Arabidopsis thaliana: one gene and its partners. The protein of the gene in region 2 interacts with the protein of the main gene of each other region in a pairwise test. Each region holds a gene or a part of one and is shown on either strand. Other genes may lie near its edges.

The links.
Region 1: the proteins of SRO1 (region 2) and NAC082 interact in a two-hybrid assay, tested with the Arabidopsis thaliana proteins (one study listed by BioGRID).
Region 3: the proteins of SRO1 (region 2) and DREB2B interact in a two-hybrid assay, tested with the Arabidopsis thaliana proteins (one study listed by BioGRID).

What each region holds. Positions count from the first base shown.
Region 1 is NC_003076.8:2,891,518-2,898,037, forward strand, and holds NAC082 (NAC domain containing protein 82), read right to left. Parts: upstream 3,964-6,520; 5' UTR 3,794-3,963; exon of another isoform or gene 3,546-3,793; 5' UTR 3,192-3,545; coding exon 3,035-3,191; intron 2,956-3,034; coding exon 2,678-2,955; intron 2,417-2,677; coding exon 1,991-2,416; intron 1,715-1,990; coding exon 1,106-1,714; 3' UTR 821-1,105; downstream 1-820. Other genes in the region: VPS9B (vacuolar protein sorting-associated 9A-like protein), read right to left, coding at 1-144, 417-499; AT5G09340 (Ubiquitin family protein), read right to left, coding at 5,158-5,397.
Region 2 is NC_003071.7:14,915,102-14,922,109, forward strand, and holds SRO1 (uncharacterized protein), read right to left. Parts: upstream 5,382-7,008; 5' UTR 5,073-5,381; intron 4,735-5,072; 5' UTR 4,632-4,734; exon of another isoform or gene 4,492-4,631; intron 4,208-4,491; 5' UTR 4,098-4,207; coding exon 2,992-4,097; intron 2,867-2,991; coding exon 2,622-2,866; coding exon of another isoform or gene 2,593-2,621; exon of another isoform or gene 2,332-2,592; coding exon 2,252-2,331; intron 2,151-2,251; coding exon 1,983-2,150; intron 1,905-1,982; coding exon 1,797-1,904; 3' UTR 1,589-1,796; downstream 1-1,588. Other genes in the region: SKL2 (shikimate kinase like 2), read left to right, coding at 83-149, 223-341, 434-610, 699-808; DAD2 (Defender against death (DAD family) protein), read left to right, coding at 6,486-6,569, 6,663-6,710. UniProt on the Arabidopsis thaliana protein: Probable inactive ADP-ribosyltransferase that functions with RCD1 to regulate oxidative stress, hormonal and developmental responses. May regulate some stress-responsive genes. Seems to play a smaller developmental role than R.
Region 3 is NC_003074.8:3,452,957-3,458,426, reverse strand, and holds DREB2B (DRE/CRT-binding protein 2B), read right to left. Parts: upstream 3,073-5,470; 5' UTR 2,874-3,072; intron 2,448-2,873; 5' UTR 2,419-2,447; coding exon 1,426-2,418; 3' UTR 1,128-1,425; downstream 1-1,127. Other genes in the region: TBL32 (TRICHOME BIREFRINGENCE-LIKE 32), read left to right, coding at 44-243, 362-520, 785-1,127; RLP34 (receptor like protein 34), read left to right, coding at 4,566-5,470. UniProt on the Arabidopsis thaliana protein: Transcriptional activator that binds specifically to the DNA sequence 5'-[AG]CCGAC-3'. Binding to the C-repeat/DRE element mediates high salinity- and dehydration-inducible transcription.

The DNA of each region.
Region 1 (6,520 bases), on a different chromosome or scaffold from region 2:
CCCGCATTGTCTAACTCATCATCGGAACAACCAGACCAAAGTGGATGAGCCCTGAAAGCAGACTCCATCTTGTAAAAGAAGTCCTGAACTGCATCACAATCTTTTTCAGGGTCTGGTGCAGTGTTCAAGATCGAAACAATGAAACTGCAAAACATCAAAAAACGTTCACAACTCAAAAAACCAGTGGCATGTGATGTTTCCATCACAACAAAAATCTGCTTAAGTTTATAGCAAATCATCGATATCATAACATTGTCGCAAAAACGAAAAAAACTATTCATAACTACTAGAGAGCAATGTGAAATCAGCAAGATATCTTATCTTGCACACATGTAATCATAACTAGAGAGTAAATAAACCTAAAGTATACAAAAAGCGAAGAAGAGAAGCGAGAGAGAGAGAGAGAGAGAGATAACCTTTTGATTGATTTGATGAAATCTTTGGCGGAGGGTTTACTCAAGAAATTATGCAGACCCGAGACGACGTCTGTGTTCTCCATCAATCCCCCAAGATACCGTACGATCGACGACAATCAAAATTGAATTCTTTGTCAGCAAGGTTTTTAGTGGAAAGAGATCAAATCGGCTTTTTAATACACGAGATGATGAATAATGATGCGGTGGGAAAGCTAAAATATTGGGCCAACGAAATAGGATTCGAAACGAAGCCCATTTAAGCCCTACATCTACATCATCTGTTATGGTCCTAAATCTGGTACGATACTTTCTTCTTCTTATTTACTTTTTTCATTCTTCGTTTTTACTTGGAACTTTTGTTCCTCCCGATTAGTTTTTGTGTTTTTCAGTATTCATCATTAAAATTCCTTTTAGTATTAATGATATGATTTAGACAGAAGAAGTATATATACAATAATCCATAGCAAAATAGAAACAAGAATAAATGTTGAGAATACTCTGAAGAAATACGAGATTCTAAGGATGAAACAGAGAATGTTGATAGGGAAGTTTCGACACATTAAAAAGATTTTGACTAATAAAAATCATAATTCAAAGACAAGAAACAAAGGTGCTTGCTCCTCCTTCTATTCGGTCTGATTTGCATCTGTTGGATTTGTAAATCCTGCTTCTCTTCTCTTCTTCTTTTTTTACATTTTTGGTCTATGTCTCATGGAAGCAGAAAAGCCATAAGGATCATCATCATTACCACCAGAGAAGTCAAAATGGCCTTGATTATACAGAAAGGAGGAGCTTCTCGGGTCATTGCGATTCCCAGTTTGAGGATTTAATGGAGCAGTGAGGTCTTGTAGCCCAGTTTGAGGATTAAATGGAGAAGTGAGGTCATGTAGCCCAGTTTGAGGATTAAATGGAGCAGTGAGGTCTTGTAGCCCAGTTTGAGGATTAAATGGAGCAGTGAGGTCTTGTAGCCCAGTTTGATGATTAAATGGAGCAGTGTGGTCTTGTAGCCCAGTTTGAGGATTAAATGGAGCAGTGTGGTCTTGTAGCCCAGTTTGATGATTAAATGGAGCAGTGAGGTCTTGTAGCCCAGTTTGAGGATTAAATGGAGCAGTGAGGTCTTGTAGCCCAGTTTGGGGATTTAATGGAGCAGTGAGGTCTTGTAGCTCTAGGTATAACTCCGAGTTTTCAACTAGGTCGTAAGAGGCCGTCCTTGGCATGCTGCTCAACTCTGGTAGTCCGTTGAAAATGCCTTCTTCTTCTAAGCAAACTGGAGCTGAGACACCGGGATCATATCTTACCTGTAGATTGATTAAATATGAGAATGTATTTTGCAGATACAAAAGAGCACATATTGATGTTGGAGAACAAGCAGATACAAAAGAGCACATATTGATGTTGGATACTAAGATCGAAGATATAGCAAAGAAGCTTTGTCTAATGGGTAACTACTACGTTCCAATGCCACTAAAACACTTAACAGCTTTAAAGTAGCCTTGCTAGCTTAAGAACATGCAGTGACACCGGCTTGTTATCACTATACTAAGCCAAAGAAGAAGAATGCAAAAAAAAACTACCTCATTATTGTTGAACCCTAAGAACTCTTCGTCATCATCAAATAGATCCAACATTGAATATAAGTCATCATTGTTGGGGGTCTGAACGGTCTCTGCCAGAGGTGCAGTAGACATAGGAGTGGTAGCTGCATCACTTGGATGTGGAAGCTCGCTGGTGGTATTAGTTGTAGCTGGTAGGAAATCCGAGACACATGACTCTGATATCATGCCACCAAAACAATCCTTATTGGAGTCATCTGGGGCAGTCAAAGCCAGAGTGGTTTCTTTGCTAGGCTCAAGAAGGTTTGTGGGATTACTAGTAGAAGGAACATCAGTACGTACTTCCTCATCACTCCAGTCCTCTTCCTTAAACGGAGCTCCATATTGAGCTCCATTTCTAGGTCCAGGACCATCTTTCTTGAACAGAACACACACCACATAAGTATCCTGCAGTCCAAAACATAATTGTAAGTAAAGAGAGAGTGATATAAGCTTACATGGATGATACATAAATCTATAAAACTAAACAAGCAGGAAACAATATATAAGTGGAAGAAGGAAAAAATTGCAGGCAGGACAGTAACACACTATCAAAGCAATTAAGGAACAAATTAAAACGGCAAGCTATCATCAGTAAATACTCGTAAACCTAAACACCTGTTCAAGTTGAAATCATATTTGCCATTTATAATAAGTAGTATATATTACCTGAGGAACATTCATCTGCGTCAGTACTTTGTCGTCAAGCCTGTATTCATGCATAACCCAATCAGTCCGCTCCCCACGAGGCGACTTGCCAAAGTGATAAACCAGAGTTTTGATCTTTCCCACAACCTCAGAATTGCACAGAACTGGTCTCTCCTTCCCCGTGGTCTTCCAGTAGCCACACTCAGTTGCACGGTTTGCCCTTACCCCACTAGCATACTTCTTTTCCCTGGGGCAGAAGAAGTGCCACTTAAGATCCCCACTTCTTATAAAAGACATATCTGTAAAGAACAAGTCTCCGAGTCAGAGAACTTAGATGCAAACACATGAACAGAACAAGAGTGTTTTAGAAATGGATACCAGGTAAATCAGGGGGTTCAAACTTGTAAATGTCAACTTCAGCAATAGCATCGACAAGGAGCTTTTTCCCCAGTATTTTCCTCTTCAAGTAATACCTCACGAGTTCAACATCAGTCGGATGGAAACGAAATCCAGGAGCGAGTTGAGTTTTCCCCATTGGCGAAGAATCCAAAGGGGAAAACTTTGAACAATCTTCTGTAAACTCTTCACCAGTAAAGTGAGAGTTTAGCAAAGAAAACTTAGTCTTCAAGTTCACAGTAAACAGGAGCAGCAGAAACGAATACCCTTTGATCAAATCAAGCAGAAAAAAAAAACAGAGAAACGAGAAAGAAGAGAGGAGAAGAAGAAAGAGAGAGAAGTCGAGGAATTGAAGACAAGTCAAGTCCAGTGCCTGAAGAGGATAATCTGAAAACACCACAACCTCCCCCTGCTCATATAACCACAGTCACACCAAAGAAAAGATGGATTCTTCTTGCAGAGATCAACAGACATCTGGTGTGCAACGTAAAGCCTGCTAATGAGACATTGAAACAAACCAAAAGAAGAAAAATTGAACTACCCGACGACCAACTTGAAACCAAACTACAATAGATAAAGTGAAGAACCCTAAAAATGAATCGGAAAATCGATAAGGTTCAAATCAGATCAAAACCCATTTCAGGAATTACAAAAGGAAAACCTAAGACTAGATCGGAACACAGAAAATCACCATCCACAACATCGCGGCGTAGGATTAGAAACAGAGAGAAAAAGTCGTACCCGGAGATGGATAGGGAAAAACTCGACGGTGGGGAAAGGACGATCGGCGGAAAGGGGGAGGAGAGCGAGAGAGAGATATAGGAGAGAGTGGCGTGAAGGACGAGCCAGAACTGAGTCAAGGGCTGCGGTCGTAGGGTTTATATAGGATTGTGTGAGGGTCTATATTAATTTATAAACCCAAAAAAACTTAAAAATTAACAATATACCTATAATTTTTATAGAATTAGTTCTCTTTCCTCAACTTTTATAAATTGGACAAAAATAGCCTTTTACTCATAATAAATTATTTAACAATATAAAAAAATTATTACCAAACGTCTTTTATTTAATTCAAATAATATTGTTTATCAAATATATAAATAAAAATATATTATAAATTAACTGATAACTAGTATGTTAACATGATAACAAAATATATATTAATAAATTTATAAATATACAATGTTAAACTATATTGTATTGCGATAAGTTTATAAATATATTATGTTAAACTATATTGTATCGCGATAAGTTTATAAATATATTATGTTAAATTATATTGTATCGCGATAAGTTTATAAATATACCGTATTAAATCATATTATATCGCGATAAATTCATAATTTCTGTGATATATTATGTTAACAGTGACATTTTGTTAATTGTACATTTTATGCATTTGTATTCTTAATTTTTATATTTTCTGGATATATAAATTAACTATTTTGGTATCTTGTTAACATAGTTATCAGTTAATTGATAAAAAAGATAAGGGAATTGTAAATGATAAAATAGTCTAGAATATGTTAATAATAACATTTGTACAGTTGACAACTGGTCAAACTAATTATCAGGTCTTCCATTGGTACATAGTGATATTACTCTTTAGTGAACTTCAGACCTCACACGCGTTTGCTAATTACAGTGTTGGGCCCTTCTCATTCAAGAGTAAAAAAACGTACTTATTAAACAGTGTTTAATCTTCATATTGAGGCATGCCTAATTATATTTTTCTCATTTTTTCACTCAAAATAATTTTTTTACGCTACAAATAATTCATAACTCAAATTGAGCTTTTAAAAAACACATTATAACCAGAAAAAAGAAATAACTTATTCTTCACAGATTTTGTATACATTTAGTCGTGAGATGAAGAAAATACACATTATACAACTTTTTATTTTCACATCATCAATTTCATCACAAATACAAATACAATCAATGTAAATAGTCTTATTATTGAACCATAAAACATGGGCAAGACTCAAGAGAGACTCTTCTTATTATTAATATTATTAAAATAAAATTACAAAAATAAATCTTATTATTATTATTATTATTATTGAACCATAAACCATCTTCTTTTTGTTAAAAAATTGGTCTAATTACCCACCACGCATACGATCGCTCATATGGAAAATGTCACAGGCTTTGATTTTGTAGTCATCCATGGTGGTTCCGCCATGGACCTCAAGCACTATCTTGCCACGGTGTTCTAGGTATTGGTATGCATTTTCCATACCCGTAGCATCATAGATTTTCGTTTTCATGTCAGCGATAGTAGTTGTCTTCTCAACCTCGACACAATATTTTTTCCCATCTTCGTCTATAATAAACACTTGCATCTACATTAAAAAAAAATAGATAAATTTCTAACAATAGCACTAAAACAAATTTTATTGATAATAATAGCACACACTTCATGAACTTTCAAAAATAGCACTACTTAACTTACTATGAAGTTTTTGTTCTAAAAGTATTATCACTAATTTATTTTTTTAAATAATACCACAACTTTTATAGAAAAACTATTCAACCAAAATAAATTAGAAATAAATTTAAAATATTATATTTTGGTTCTCTATTTCCAATTTAGGGTATATATTTCAACTATTTAAAAAATATTTTGATTCATTTTAATATTAGTTTATGGTATTATATTTGAGTTCCATATTTCCAATTTAGGGTATATATTTTCACCATTAAAAGAGATTTTTATTTATTTTAATATTAGTTTGTAGTATTATATTTGGGTTCTTTATTTTCAATTTAGGGTATATATTTCCACTATTAAAAATTTTTATTTTATTTAATATTAAATTAGTGTTTGCTATCATTTTTCTTTCTATCTTATATTTTAATTAAGTTTAATTGAAGTTTATAGTGCTATTTGTGAAATTTTAGAAATGTACTGCTAATTTTGGAAGAAAAACTTTTTTGATGTTATTTTTGTCAATTGCCCTAAAAATAACAATAAGAATAATAATTAGTCAAAAGATTGTGAGTTTAATAGTTTAAGTGTTGCACACGCACACGTATACATAAATATATATGTATATATATATATATATATATATATATATACATCTACACAAACCTTGAGAAGGAGGTTTTCTTTTGCTTCGCAAAACCCTAGAAAACCAAGCCCTAAATCACTAGAAAGAGAGAAAGCTTAATGCGAGATATCTCTTACAAAAGATTTAGGACCTCTTTTTATATATAGATGAATCCCATGGAGAAAAGGAACCAAGTTTGAAATAAGAAATTTTTTAAAAGTAAAATTCTATGTAGAAAAAGTGAAACAATAGAAATTAACAAACAAGAATTGGGTTCTTTTATTTTTTGTCGTCGACATATAATTTTGTTTAATAACTAGGATACCACGGGTTAAATATTTTATTTGTTTTCTTTATCATAAAATAGAATTTGTCGTTTGTAATTATTTGCGTTGATTAATAATTATCGATA
Region 2 (7,008 bases):
TAAGTTTGCTTTTGGATCATGGTCATCATCTAACAAGAATCTTCCTCACTTCTCAGGACCCTTTTGTTTGTCTTCATTTTAGGGATTCTTGCAGAAGGGCCGGATTCTGTAGCTGAAGCAGAGAGTTCGGTATTGGAAAGCTTGAGCAGGTAAAAAGTCATGTCTAGTGTTCAATCTCTTTCCAGTTACCAAGATTAGCCACTGATCTCCATGTCTTTGCAGCCATGTGCGTACTGTTGTCTCAACTTTGGGAGGTAAACATGGAGCTGCGGGGAGAGCTGATCAGTGGAGACATCTTTACTCCGGATTTACCGTTTGGGTATCACAGACTGAAGCCACAGGTCAATTTCTCTCTACATCCACTTAAAATGAACCCTTCTGAACAGAAAACGAGAATCACTGCTTATACATTCAAGATTGGTTCTGAATGTAGATGAAGAGTCAGCTAAAGAAGAAGCGAGGAGAAGTAAGCAAGAGAGGGAGATTGGGTATTCAAACGCCGACGTTGTGGTGAAGCTCCAAGGTTGGGACCCGACGCATGCAAAGAGCGTGGCTCAGGCTTCCTTGAGTGCACTTAAGCAACTGATCATCTCAGACAAGGGACTTCCAGGTAATAAATAGAAGAAACCCATTTGTAAATTGATGCTTTAATCTGATAAATGTTTTGGAGATTAAATGCGTCTTTTATGATATTGAAGGTAAGAAGAGTTTGTACATACGCTTGGGATGCCGTGGCGATTGGCCCAATATAAAACCGCCGGGATGGGATCCATCGTCTGACACTGGACCTCATCCACAGTTTACATAAACAGTGTCAAGACATGCTTTTTGCTCTCTCCTACAAACGAATGCTCTTGAAGAAATTTTCTGTTATTGTTGTCATTGTCAATGGTATTTAATTGTTAAAGAAGTTGTATATTGGATAATTTGAGAATTGACTACCAATCTGAGTTTTAAATGGCACAAAGCGCACCATGGCTCAGAGAGTCCTTTAGTGCGCTATGTGCCATGGCTCACCAAAGCGCGCGCTTTTTAGATCTGTGGTGTTCTATTAACAGATTCTCTGCATATGGTTTTAGCCTTCAAGCTTATATCGTCTATGGTGTTCTATTTAGAAAAATTAGGGATTTTACATCTTCTAACTGGTTAAAATGTCGTGGGTTAAGAGGTAAGGGTCAAATCCGTTTTAGTTTAAGATAAACCTAGGATTGATTTGGTTTGATAAGCTAATTATAACTCATGGTTAAACTTTCTAGTCGTGGATTAGGTATTGACCAGCTAAATTGAATCATGTATTAACCAGCTAGGTTTAGAAAATGGTTTATCCTATTCCTCCTAGTCATTTCTTCGTGCAAACCCTAAAATCACAGAATTCTGTTGTTGGTTTCGAAGAGTTTTCGCCTGAACACAAGAGGCGATCGCTTTGCCACCTTGTGCATCGGCCAAGGCTCACGTATGGCGTGCGCATTATAGATGTCGCCTCGCCTCCACGTCTTGTTGCCCTATTCTTAGAGCATCGGTGCGCTATGCGCCATGGCACGCCATTAGCGCGCTTTTTAAAACTAAGGCTGTTGAATAACTTCCAGCTGATGAATTAAACCTCACAAAGAACCAAGGCTGTTGATCAATAAAAGACTCTTTGATTCCAAGTAAAGAAAAACAGGATAATGGAGACTAGTTTCACCAAAAGAGTAAATATAACAGTACTACTACTAAGTTTCTAAAGATCAAGTCACGTTTGTCGTAATCCAAACTATTAAGGTTTCACGACAGCAAAGAGAAGTCGACACATTAATCTAACCCAAACTCCTTTGAAGGCCTGTTATTGTAGATATCAGCAGATCATCATCTCCTACAATCATACTCAGCGTCTTATAAAATTCCTTTCTCGACACCTTCTTCTCCTGCAAGAGCACACCGATTATGTTAATACAATATGATAACCTTGACTATTGGTAAAAGACATGGTTTATATTATTTACCCTGAGTTCCTGGTAACCAGCAATTATCAAATCCATGTCTTTACGAGCAATTTTGCTCGAGATTGCTTTGAACAGCAGAGGGAAAGGCATTATAGGAGATCTGGGCCTTCTACTGCTGGAGCTATTCTTTTCGCTCCCTGAACCTCCATTTGATACCCTTCCTGGCTCCTGCTTCATACAAACAAGCAACATTACTCGTTTGTGTCCATATCAAATATTAACAATGACTGCTTGAAAATGAGAATCTGATCAGGTACAATTCAACTTACATTTGAGGGAGAACCTTTGGGTCCTTCCAAGGTGAGTCCCGAACTCTCGTGCCTACTCTGAGTAGTAGGAAGAATATTCCCTGCACAAACAAAACATGTCATCCCGTTTCGAATACTACAGAAAACAAATGTGATCATCGAAATACCCATATATATTAGCCATGGATATCTCACTGGACCCTTGGGATGATGAAGTATGTTTACCACCCCCAGAGGTCACAAGGTGATGTGGATCCTTTTCTAACTTATAGAGGAAGATTTCAGGATCCAAATAGCTGATCTTCAGTAAGATCTATATGCTGTCTCCCATTCAATGCGTCATCAGTTGATTTTTATGGAAATTACAGGAGAAATAACAAATGGTAATCACCTTCAGCATTGGGGATAGACAGCTTGAAGCTAACTACAAATTCTGGGTAAATGTGAGTGTTCATATTCATGTTCCAGATAAGGTAATGCTTTGGACTCTCAACATCATCAACCCCATTATCATACTCTTCTCCACCAGTAAAGTACTGCGTGTTATCACCACGAAGAGGCTCCATATTCCCCATTATTACGCGGCACAAAACCATGTGCCGCACACCATTATCGTCAATATCACAGTATCTAGCACTGTAAACAATATCTTTCACATGTGCTTAGATAAAACCATAAAACAAATGAACTATAAAGTGAAACAAAAATAGCATAAGGCAGGCTAAATGAGAGAGGAACTGGCATAGAGGGCGAATAAAAACCTGAAATAAGGGCAGTTTGCAGCGTGAACCCCAACACCATACATAGACTTTTTAATGAATGCTCCACCCACTCCAAGTCCATGCATCATCACGGCAGATAACACTTCCTTCTTCGCAGGAACCCATGCATATCTAATGTTTGCATCTCCTCGGTGTTTCTTAGTGATGTCAGCTTGCTTCTGGAAAAGAGATAGACGAGCCTTTGCAATCTCGCTTGAAAACTGATACACATCAAGCGACTCTACATGCCCTAGAGTGGCAGCACCCAAAGCAAACATTTGTTTGACAGCATCTTTATCAAGCTCCTCCTCAGCAGGCTTGACACCAGAGAACCGATCAGTTTCTGTTTTGTCCCATTTCTCAACAGCATCATCAAGCTCACGGCTGCAGCTATCCTCTGATGCCTCGTCATTTGGCCCATTTGAGGATCTCTGAACAGCTTGAAAATCATCCATATTGTCACCAGACTCGTCAGTGACCACATTCAAATTCAGCCTCGGTAACTCCCCACTATTTACATCAATTTCAATGTGCAGCTTGATCTCACGTTGATCATGTTGTTCCGGATCTTCCCCACGGATATGATGGCAGCCGTCCCTTTCGAGGGTGTCAAAAGTTTCAGGGAAAAAGCATTTGCCAGCAATATCAATCCAAGCAAGCTGGGTTTTTACACCTGTTTCCAAGTCTAGTCGATACATGTGCAAGAAATCCAGGAGAAAATGGCGACCGCACCAATTGAACTCAATTGTAGCTCTCTTTGCTTCAAGATCATTCCTGATGTCGCATAGAATATGATCAGGCAAATCAATCCATTCACCATTCTCATGGAACATTACACGTTTTGGCACTCCTGTCTTCTTATAATAAGAGAAGTATCTGACCAAAGACTTCTCAACATGATTCTCAGAAACAATAACTTTGTTTTCACCATCCAAATTTCTCCTTTTCTCAAGCTTCTGGGTGGAACTGTTGGGTGAAAGCACCCATTGCAGCTTTGCATATGACCTTCCAGAATCATAAGGAGTATAGTTCCCTGGATGCTTTCTCTTCTTCCCAAGACCATCTTTATAACTACTATCCGATACCTTGACGATTTTGGCTTCCATTTTTCTCTACTAACAACACTAAACCTATAACCTTGAATATAAAGTCAACTAACACACCGAACTGTCTAGCAGTACTAAGGATGGGAACTCACCAACAGCTTCGAAAAAAACTGCAAGAAGAAAGGTGTGCATCAGATATGAAAAAAGTGCAGTGACTGTATATAAAATAAAAATGAAAAGACTCTCATCATGCAATAACCTACTTAACAAAAAGACACTGCTATAAACACCAACAGAAAGCAACTATATGAACAGTTATTCATGAGTTTTCCTACAAAGCATCATGTTTCAATTGAAACAACACTGTCGAATCGATACCAGTAAAATCCCTTTACAAATCATAGGAAAAACAATATAAGAAAGATTACAAGAAAGGAAAGAAGTGACAACTAACCTACACAAGGATGAAAAAAGAGGTTCAGCTACTCAGAAGGCAAGATCTTATAACAAACATGACAGAACAAAGAAGCAAAACTGCAGATACAAATCCGGACTAGATAGAACGGTAAACTCATCGGAAAGCTTGAGACTTACCAGGCTGTAGCACTTGTTGATAAATACATTAGTATTCATGTTGGCAAAAAGTAATCAGAGAAGAAACGTCACCGTATTTCTTCGATGTTCACAAATGTCAACTCTGTAAGACAAGCCAAAAAATTTAACCTTCAAAGACAGAAACAGACCAACAAATAACAACAGGCTATCAAAGCTGTCGAGACAAGCTCTCTTCTGTTTAGGTGAATACATGAATCATAACAACAGAAGCTTAGACGAGACATTTTCACTCTTAACAAATTATGTAATAGCAATCTTTTTCAGCTTTTCAGCGAAACCCCTAATAAAATTATGCAAATAAACCATCAATTGACACCAAAACATCTCAAGAACAACACAATTCACAACAATTTCGACTAAATGTAACACACCAATTCACAGAATCATAGATTATATCAATAAAGACAAATTTAAACTAACCTTATGAACTCTTGAGATTGGACGCAAGGCAAGAGCAATATAAGAGAAACTGTAAAAGGGGAGAGAGAAGCGAGAGAAAATTGCTACAGCAACGGAAACCCTAAACCGGCGACGACGAAGAAGAAGAAATCGTTTGGAAAAAGACGAGCCATTTATATATATTCTCTCGTCGGCGAAAAAATCTAAGTCGGCGGTCTACTCTTGGACACAAAGCCAATCGTTTAGGCAAAGAACAAAGTTACACATTTTTTTTTTTTACGTCAAAGCCCAATTCTAACTGGACCGTCACCTATCAATTCTGACCCGGTCAAACACGGCCAATTTCACTATCAAGTATAAACAAGTAAATAAATGTGTTGTAAACTACTCTATTATAGTTACATAGACATTTTTTCAGTTTTAAACTAGTTTTGTCAGATATCGCTCCAATAATATAAATTTATAAAATTGTTATCATAAAAAATAAATTTTCAATTTTGTCAAGATTGTGGTTTTAATACTTCAGACCAGAAAAAAATTTAATTTTTGTTTTAGTTTGAGTGGTTAGGACATATGTTACGGAATTTAGAAGAAAACTTATTTTGTTCGGTTACGTTAAATTTGAAAATAAACTCATCTCTTACGTATGCATTCAATTATTATATTATATACATCTTTTATCTAAACTTTCCTTACGCTGTACAAGGAAATTACAAACGTTCTCTTTGAATTTGTTAAAGTTGTGTTTATTCTAAAAATTTCAGTGTATCTCCGATTATTCCGTTTTTAATTGTTACATCCACTCTGCCTGCCTTATTGAATGATTAATCTCTTGAAGAAATCAGTTATCTAATTACCTTCCATCTAATCCGATTATTTCGTACCTAATTTTGTATATCTTGATTATTTAAGATTTTAAATATAAAACAACTTCTTTTTTATTCAAACATGTACATTAAGAGTATGATAAATTATAGCAACTTATGTACAAAATTTTAACTAAAAACATAAAATGTTGTCTTAAAAATATATTTTTATGTTTACTACCATTTTCAAAACAATATTAGATTAAAATGTTTTAAAAACATTATAATAACCCTAAATATTTATTTCCGATTTTTAAATTAATCGCCAAATTCATATTGAGCCCTCGAGTAACGTCTAAAGATTTTTCGAACAAGCTCGAGTGGTAGTCCATTTACAAACTGTGGAAAACATAATTTAGAAAATATCTCATAACAAAACGGCGACGTTTCGAAGTTCAGACTTAAAAAGGCTTGGGCCCAAAGGCCCCAAACAATGACAGCCCGTTTTAATCAGCAAATCCTGAAACAACGTCATTTCAGCGAGAGCACCAGACTCGTGAAGAAGAGAAAAAGAAGAAGCAGGAGAAAAGTTTGCTTGCTGTGCCTGTGTTGGTCAGTCTTTGAAGAAATGGTGAAATCGACTAGTAAGGATGCTCAGGATCTCTTCCATTCTCTTCACTCTGCTTATACCGCTACACCAACGAATCTCAAGGTCCACCATTATCATTTTGTTCTGATCTTTTATGAATCATCATTGAAATTGAAAAATCCGCTGAATGTTCTTGTTTGAACTCTGTTTTTGTAGATCATCGACCTTTATGTTTGTTTCGCGGTCTTCACAGCTTTGATTCAGGTACTCTAATCTCCTTTATTGCTTCGACTGTGCCTCTCGATCCGTGCCTTTTCGTTTCGTTTATGTATATGGGGATTTCAAATGTATGAGTTTTTATGTTCATATGTATTGATATGTGTATTTTCAAATAGAAAGACACTCAAATTTGATATACTTGATTTGCAATTTTTGTGTTCATTTGTATAGCATCATCCATTACTTTGTCGTTGAAATGTTTGATCTGTGTTTTTTTGAAGGACTATATCAAAGAAACTCTTGTTGCTTAATTCTTGACTCATGTTAAATTCTACAGAATTTC
Region 3 (5,470 bases), on a different chromosome or scaffold from region 2:
CTTGGTTAGGATTCTTATAGATTCTTGTGGTATGTTTATGTAGGATTACAATGCAACGATTGAGTTCTATTGGGCACCGTTTCTTCTAGAATCGAATTCAGATAACGCAACAGTTCATAGAGTATCAGATCGAATTGTGAGGAAAGGATCGATCAACAAACACGGTAGGCATTGGCGAGGGGCTGATATAGTTGTGTTCAACACATACTTGTGGTGGAGGACTGGCTTCAAAATGAAGATCTTGTATGTTATCAATCATGAAATTTAAAGCTCTCGTCATTGTTTCTTAAGTATAGGTTCTCAAATACTTTTCTGTATAATACTTATGATTTGATTATTTTTTTCGATTTGTTATTTGAAGGGAAGGTTCTTTCAAGGATGAGAAGAAGAGAATCGTTGAGATGGAGAGTGAAGATGCTTATAGAATGGCGTTGAAGACTATGGTTAAATGGGTGAAGAAGAATATGGATCCATTGAAGACGAGGGTTTTCTTTGCTACCATGTCTCCTACTCATTACAAGTCAGTAACTTCTTGAACTTTACTGTGATTTAACTATCTATAAACACTTCAAATTCAAAACCAGGAACCAAAAAGAGAGGAGATATATGGCTTAGAACAATGTAGTCCGGATTTGGTATTGAATGAAATGAGTAATGGAGTTTAGATTGATCCGGTTTATCTTTAATAGTTTAAGTAAATGTGGCTTATAACATGATCCGCAATTAGAAACCACACTAAGATTTAGCATACAAAGGTTTCATATTTGTCTACCTCCATGATCAGGGGCGAGGATTGGGGAGGCGAACAAGGAAAAAATTGTTACAATCAAACGACACCGATCCAAGACATGAACCATTGGCCATCAGACTGCAGCAAAACCTTAATGAAAGTGATAGGAGAGGAATTAGACCAAAGAGCAGAGTTTCCGGTGACGGTACTTAACATTACACAACTCTCTGGCTATCGGAAAGACGCGCACACGTCAATCTACAAGAAGCAATGGAGCCCATTGACGAAGGAGCAGCTAGCAAATCCGGCTAGCTACTCAGACTGTATACATTGGTGCTTGCCTGGTCTTCAAGATACTTGGAACGAGCTTTTCTTTGCCAAGTTATTTTATCCATGATTCTTTTCTCTAAATTCAAGATTTTTTTAGAACTGTAATTGTAAATTATGGTTATAATTTTTGTTAATTACGTACACTTATTGTTCTACAAAGAGAAGAAAGAGAGAAACTCTGCTATTCGCTATATTAACTCAATAGATGAGAAGCAACAGTTCATGATCCAAGGAAAGAACAAAAACTATAGAGTTATTAAATATTTTTTCATTGTGAATCAGATCATTAACACCTATTTCTTGTTTCTCCTATGATCAATCCAAAGATTATGTTGTAGTCTTGTAGGACCATTGCCTCAGAACTCTCAAATATCCAGAGAACTCAAACCATTGAACTCGTGACCATCGTGTGGCTCGAGATGAAGCGGATGCAAATCATAACTACCAGAATTTACGTGGTTTTGGTCTTGGCTCTGATGGGGACCAGGTTCATTCAAATCTCCAAGGAGTTCATTAATATCAAAGCACTCATTAGGATCCCAAGAAGTCTGATCATTTACAATATCATTAGACCAAGGCCAACCGTAATCTGCAACAGTAAGCAAATCCGGTTGCAGCTGTTGCTGTTGCTGTTCCTGTTGCTGTTGCTGTATCTCCTCTTCTTCCTGCTTCGGTTTCTCTTTCTCCTGCAAAACTTGGCCCCAATACTGCTGCTCAAACTCTAACAGCAAATCGTAATTCAGCGAAGAATTCATATCTTGATGTCCAACCGTGCAACTGTCCGGCCTGGTTCCACAAGACTCTTCTCTAACATCTAAAATCTGACTAAATGGATTAGATTCACAATCAGTATCTTCATGCTTCACACAAACATCACCACAAACAACCGCCTTATTTTCAACCGTACACACCTCAGATTGACTAGACGTACTAGTAAACTCAGACCCAACAGACTGAGGGAAGTTAAGACGAGCCAATGAACCGTACATAGCGGTAGCCGCTTCATCATAAGCGGAAGCAGCTTTTTCCGCGGTAGGAAAAGTACCAAGCCAAAGTCTAGTTCCTATTTTCGGTTCTCGAATCTCTGCAACCCATTTACCCCAAATCCTTTGTCTAACTCCTCTAAAACTACAGTGAGAATTATCTGGTCCTCCTTTACCCTTCATACAACCTTTCTTCGACCCTTTCGCAGGAACTTTGCGTTTCGGTTTCTCTCCTTCTTTAACAGCCGAAGCTTCAACAATCTCGTTGTACTCTTTCCACTTCTTTAGCCTATCAGCCACCGTTAAACCACCTGCTCGAGCCCTAGATTTCCTTTTCTTCGGCTGCTCGGTTCCGGTTTGTTCATATACAGCCATCTTCTTCTTTATAGTCGCAATCTAAGAATCTACAAGATAGGAAAAAAAAAGGTTTTGAATCAGTCTCTTCCTCTCAATTTCAGAAAACAGAAATTATCGAGTCACGGAATTTATAGTTATAAAGAGGAACAGAAACAACTTGGGCACCAAGGGTGTTTTACTTGCTCACCAAGTTTTACTTTATTAATAGAAAAGCAAAAATCGCATTAGAATTTCCAATTTTTTAACCCGAGTCTTAGATTAAAGAAACCGTGTAAAAAAAAATAAACGCTAAATTAGAAAATTTCCCAAATTTCTCTCAAAAACAGCGAAACCTAAAAGGATGACATTTTGAACAAATCAATGAACACGAAAACATCTAAAACCCAAAATTCATCAAACCCAAAACCCTCTTCGAGACTAATTCAGCGAAAAATCGACAAACCCAGAAAAGATTAATTGGAAATCAAACATACCTATCGTGAATGATAACTCCAGGATTAGAGTCGAATCTCTTCTTTATTTAGGCAAAAATCTCTTCTTTATCACGCAGATGTTGTTTGTTGTTCGTGTTAAGTCGATCAAAAGCAAATCTTCTTCGCAAGCTTTCGCGTTCTTTCTAGCGTCTCTTTTTTCTTTTCTTTTTGTAAAGACAACAAACTTTTTACAGAAATCAGATATTATCAAGAGGTCGAAAGGGTATTTATAACTTTGTCTAGATATTTCTGATATTTTAATGAGAGTAGTAGTGACATGGCACTTATTAATTCGAATTGTGGATCATAACATTCCCCAGTGACGACACGTGTTGAAATTTTCACCACACAAAAACACGCTCTCAATACGGGTAAGCAATGGGAATCCTTACTATAGTTGATAAACACATACAGAAACATATTTAATACAATATGTACATGTTAAGACTCAAGAATCACAAAACCATACTAATATTTTAAGAAATAAATATTTAAATAATGAAACTTAATTATTAAGAAAGTCTCATTTTAAAGATTATAGTCAATATTTGAACAATAATCTGATATTTTGAGGAAAACAAATTAACAGTATGTTATGAATAATTTATAACCAAAAAAGTAGATTTATAATCTATAATATTTATTTTCTAGTATGGCAGTATATTAAATTGAATAATATACATCCAAAATTCCAAAAAATAAGTAATCAAACAAACACAAAGCAACATCACAACCATGATTATCACCATCACCCACAAACTTTTCTTCTGAATTCATTTCATTCTAAGAGAGAATATACGAAGCACATCAAACAGTGTTTTATCCTGAAAGCATAAAATCAGAGAAACACACAAATAATTAACGAGATTCTAGTTCAGTTATAGGTTTTTTGAACTCCAAAGCTCGCATTAATTAATTTACAATTAGTCTCTTCTACTAAGTACAATAACTCTAAGTCTCTAACAGTAATCATCAAACACAAAGCAAATGTCCACGCATTATCAATGAGACAAAATCAAACTCGTCATCACGGTCTTCAATTATCGGTCGGCCTAAACCCCCATAATTTGGAAATCGAAGCTCGCGAATTTGCTAAGGTTTCATGCGGACTACAGAACGTTACATGTTGACGACGGTATGAAGAGAAATTGCGGCGAGACACAACCGATCTTACGTTATCTGTTCTTTCTTTTCAAAAAGGGGAATACTTATACTCTTCTGAGTTCGGTGGAATGTGATCAAATGGGCCTGCGTTTTATTTTTATCCTCCTATGTTGTTGGGCCTTAGCCCGAGTTTGTTTTTCAGACTGATGCACAAAATTGATAATATCCATCTCTGAACTAATAATATCAGACTTATAGACATAGTAACAAGTCGTCCAATTTGGTTGGGAAAACAACTTTTCGAAGTTTCCTGTACGTAATTAAAGTAAAGACAAAATGTGTGGAAATGGACTATTCAACATGAAGACTCTTTTAAGTCTTTTCGTTTCAACGTGAAGAACACTTGGTAGAAAGACTGGTTATATAATGTGAGTCAAGCTGTGTTGGATTTATCTTTGTGGAGTAGAATCTATTACTATGTCTATAAAGAGATGGGCACGAAACCATCTTATTTACTACCACAAACTCCACTTTCTTTTATCAATATTCAAGAAAATTCGACTAGCTAGCTAGCGTAAATTAAGGAGGATGAAAGGCTCTTGGGTGGTCTCAACGAGTATCATTCGTATTACTCTTTCTTTTACTTTCTTATTCATTTGTCATTTTTCGGACGTGCTTGCGGCTCCTACTAGGCACTTGTGTCGTCCCGAACAAAAGGATGCACTTCTCAAGTTCAAAAACGAGTTTGAGATTGGGAAGCCTTCTCCTACTTGTAAGATGGTTGGCATTGAATCTCATCGGAAGACGGAGTCATGGGGGAATAACAGCGACTGTTGTAATTGGGAGGGAGTCACGTGCAATGCCAAGTCCGGGGAAGTGATCGAGCTCAACCTTAGCTGCAGCTCCCTCCATGGCCGGTTTCATTCCAACAGCAGTATTCGAAACCTTCATTTCCTAACCACTCTAGACCGTTCACATAATGATTTTGAAGGTCAAATCACGTCTTCAATTGAAAATCTGTCTCATCTCACCTCTCTCGACCTTTCTTATAATCGTTTTTCGGGTCAGATTCTGAATTCAATCGGAAACCTTTCTCGTCTCACCTCTCTCGACCTTTCTTTTAATCAGTTTTCGGGTCAGATTCCATCATCAATTGGTAATCTTTCTCATCTCACCTTTCTAGGTCTTTCTGGTAATCGTTTTTTTGGTCAGATTCCATCTTCAATTGGTAATCTTTCTCATCTCACCTTTCTAGGTCTTTCTGGTAATCGTTTTTTTGGTCAGTTTCCGTCTTCAATTGGAGGTCTTTCTAATCTCACCAATCTCCACCTTTCTTATAACAAATATTCGGGTCAGATTCCATCTTCGATTGGCAACCTTTCTCAACTTATCGTTCTCTACCTTTCTGTTAACAATTTCTATGGTGAAATCCCATCTTCTTTTGGCAATCTAAACCAGCTGACCCGCTTAGATGTTTCTTTCAACAAGCTCGG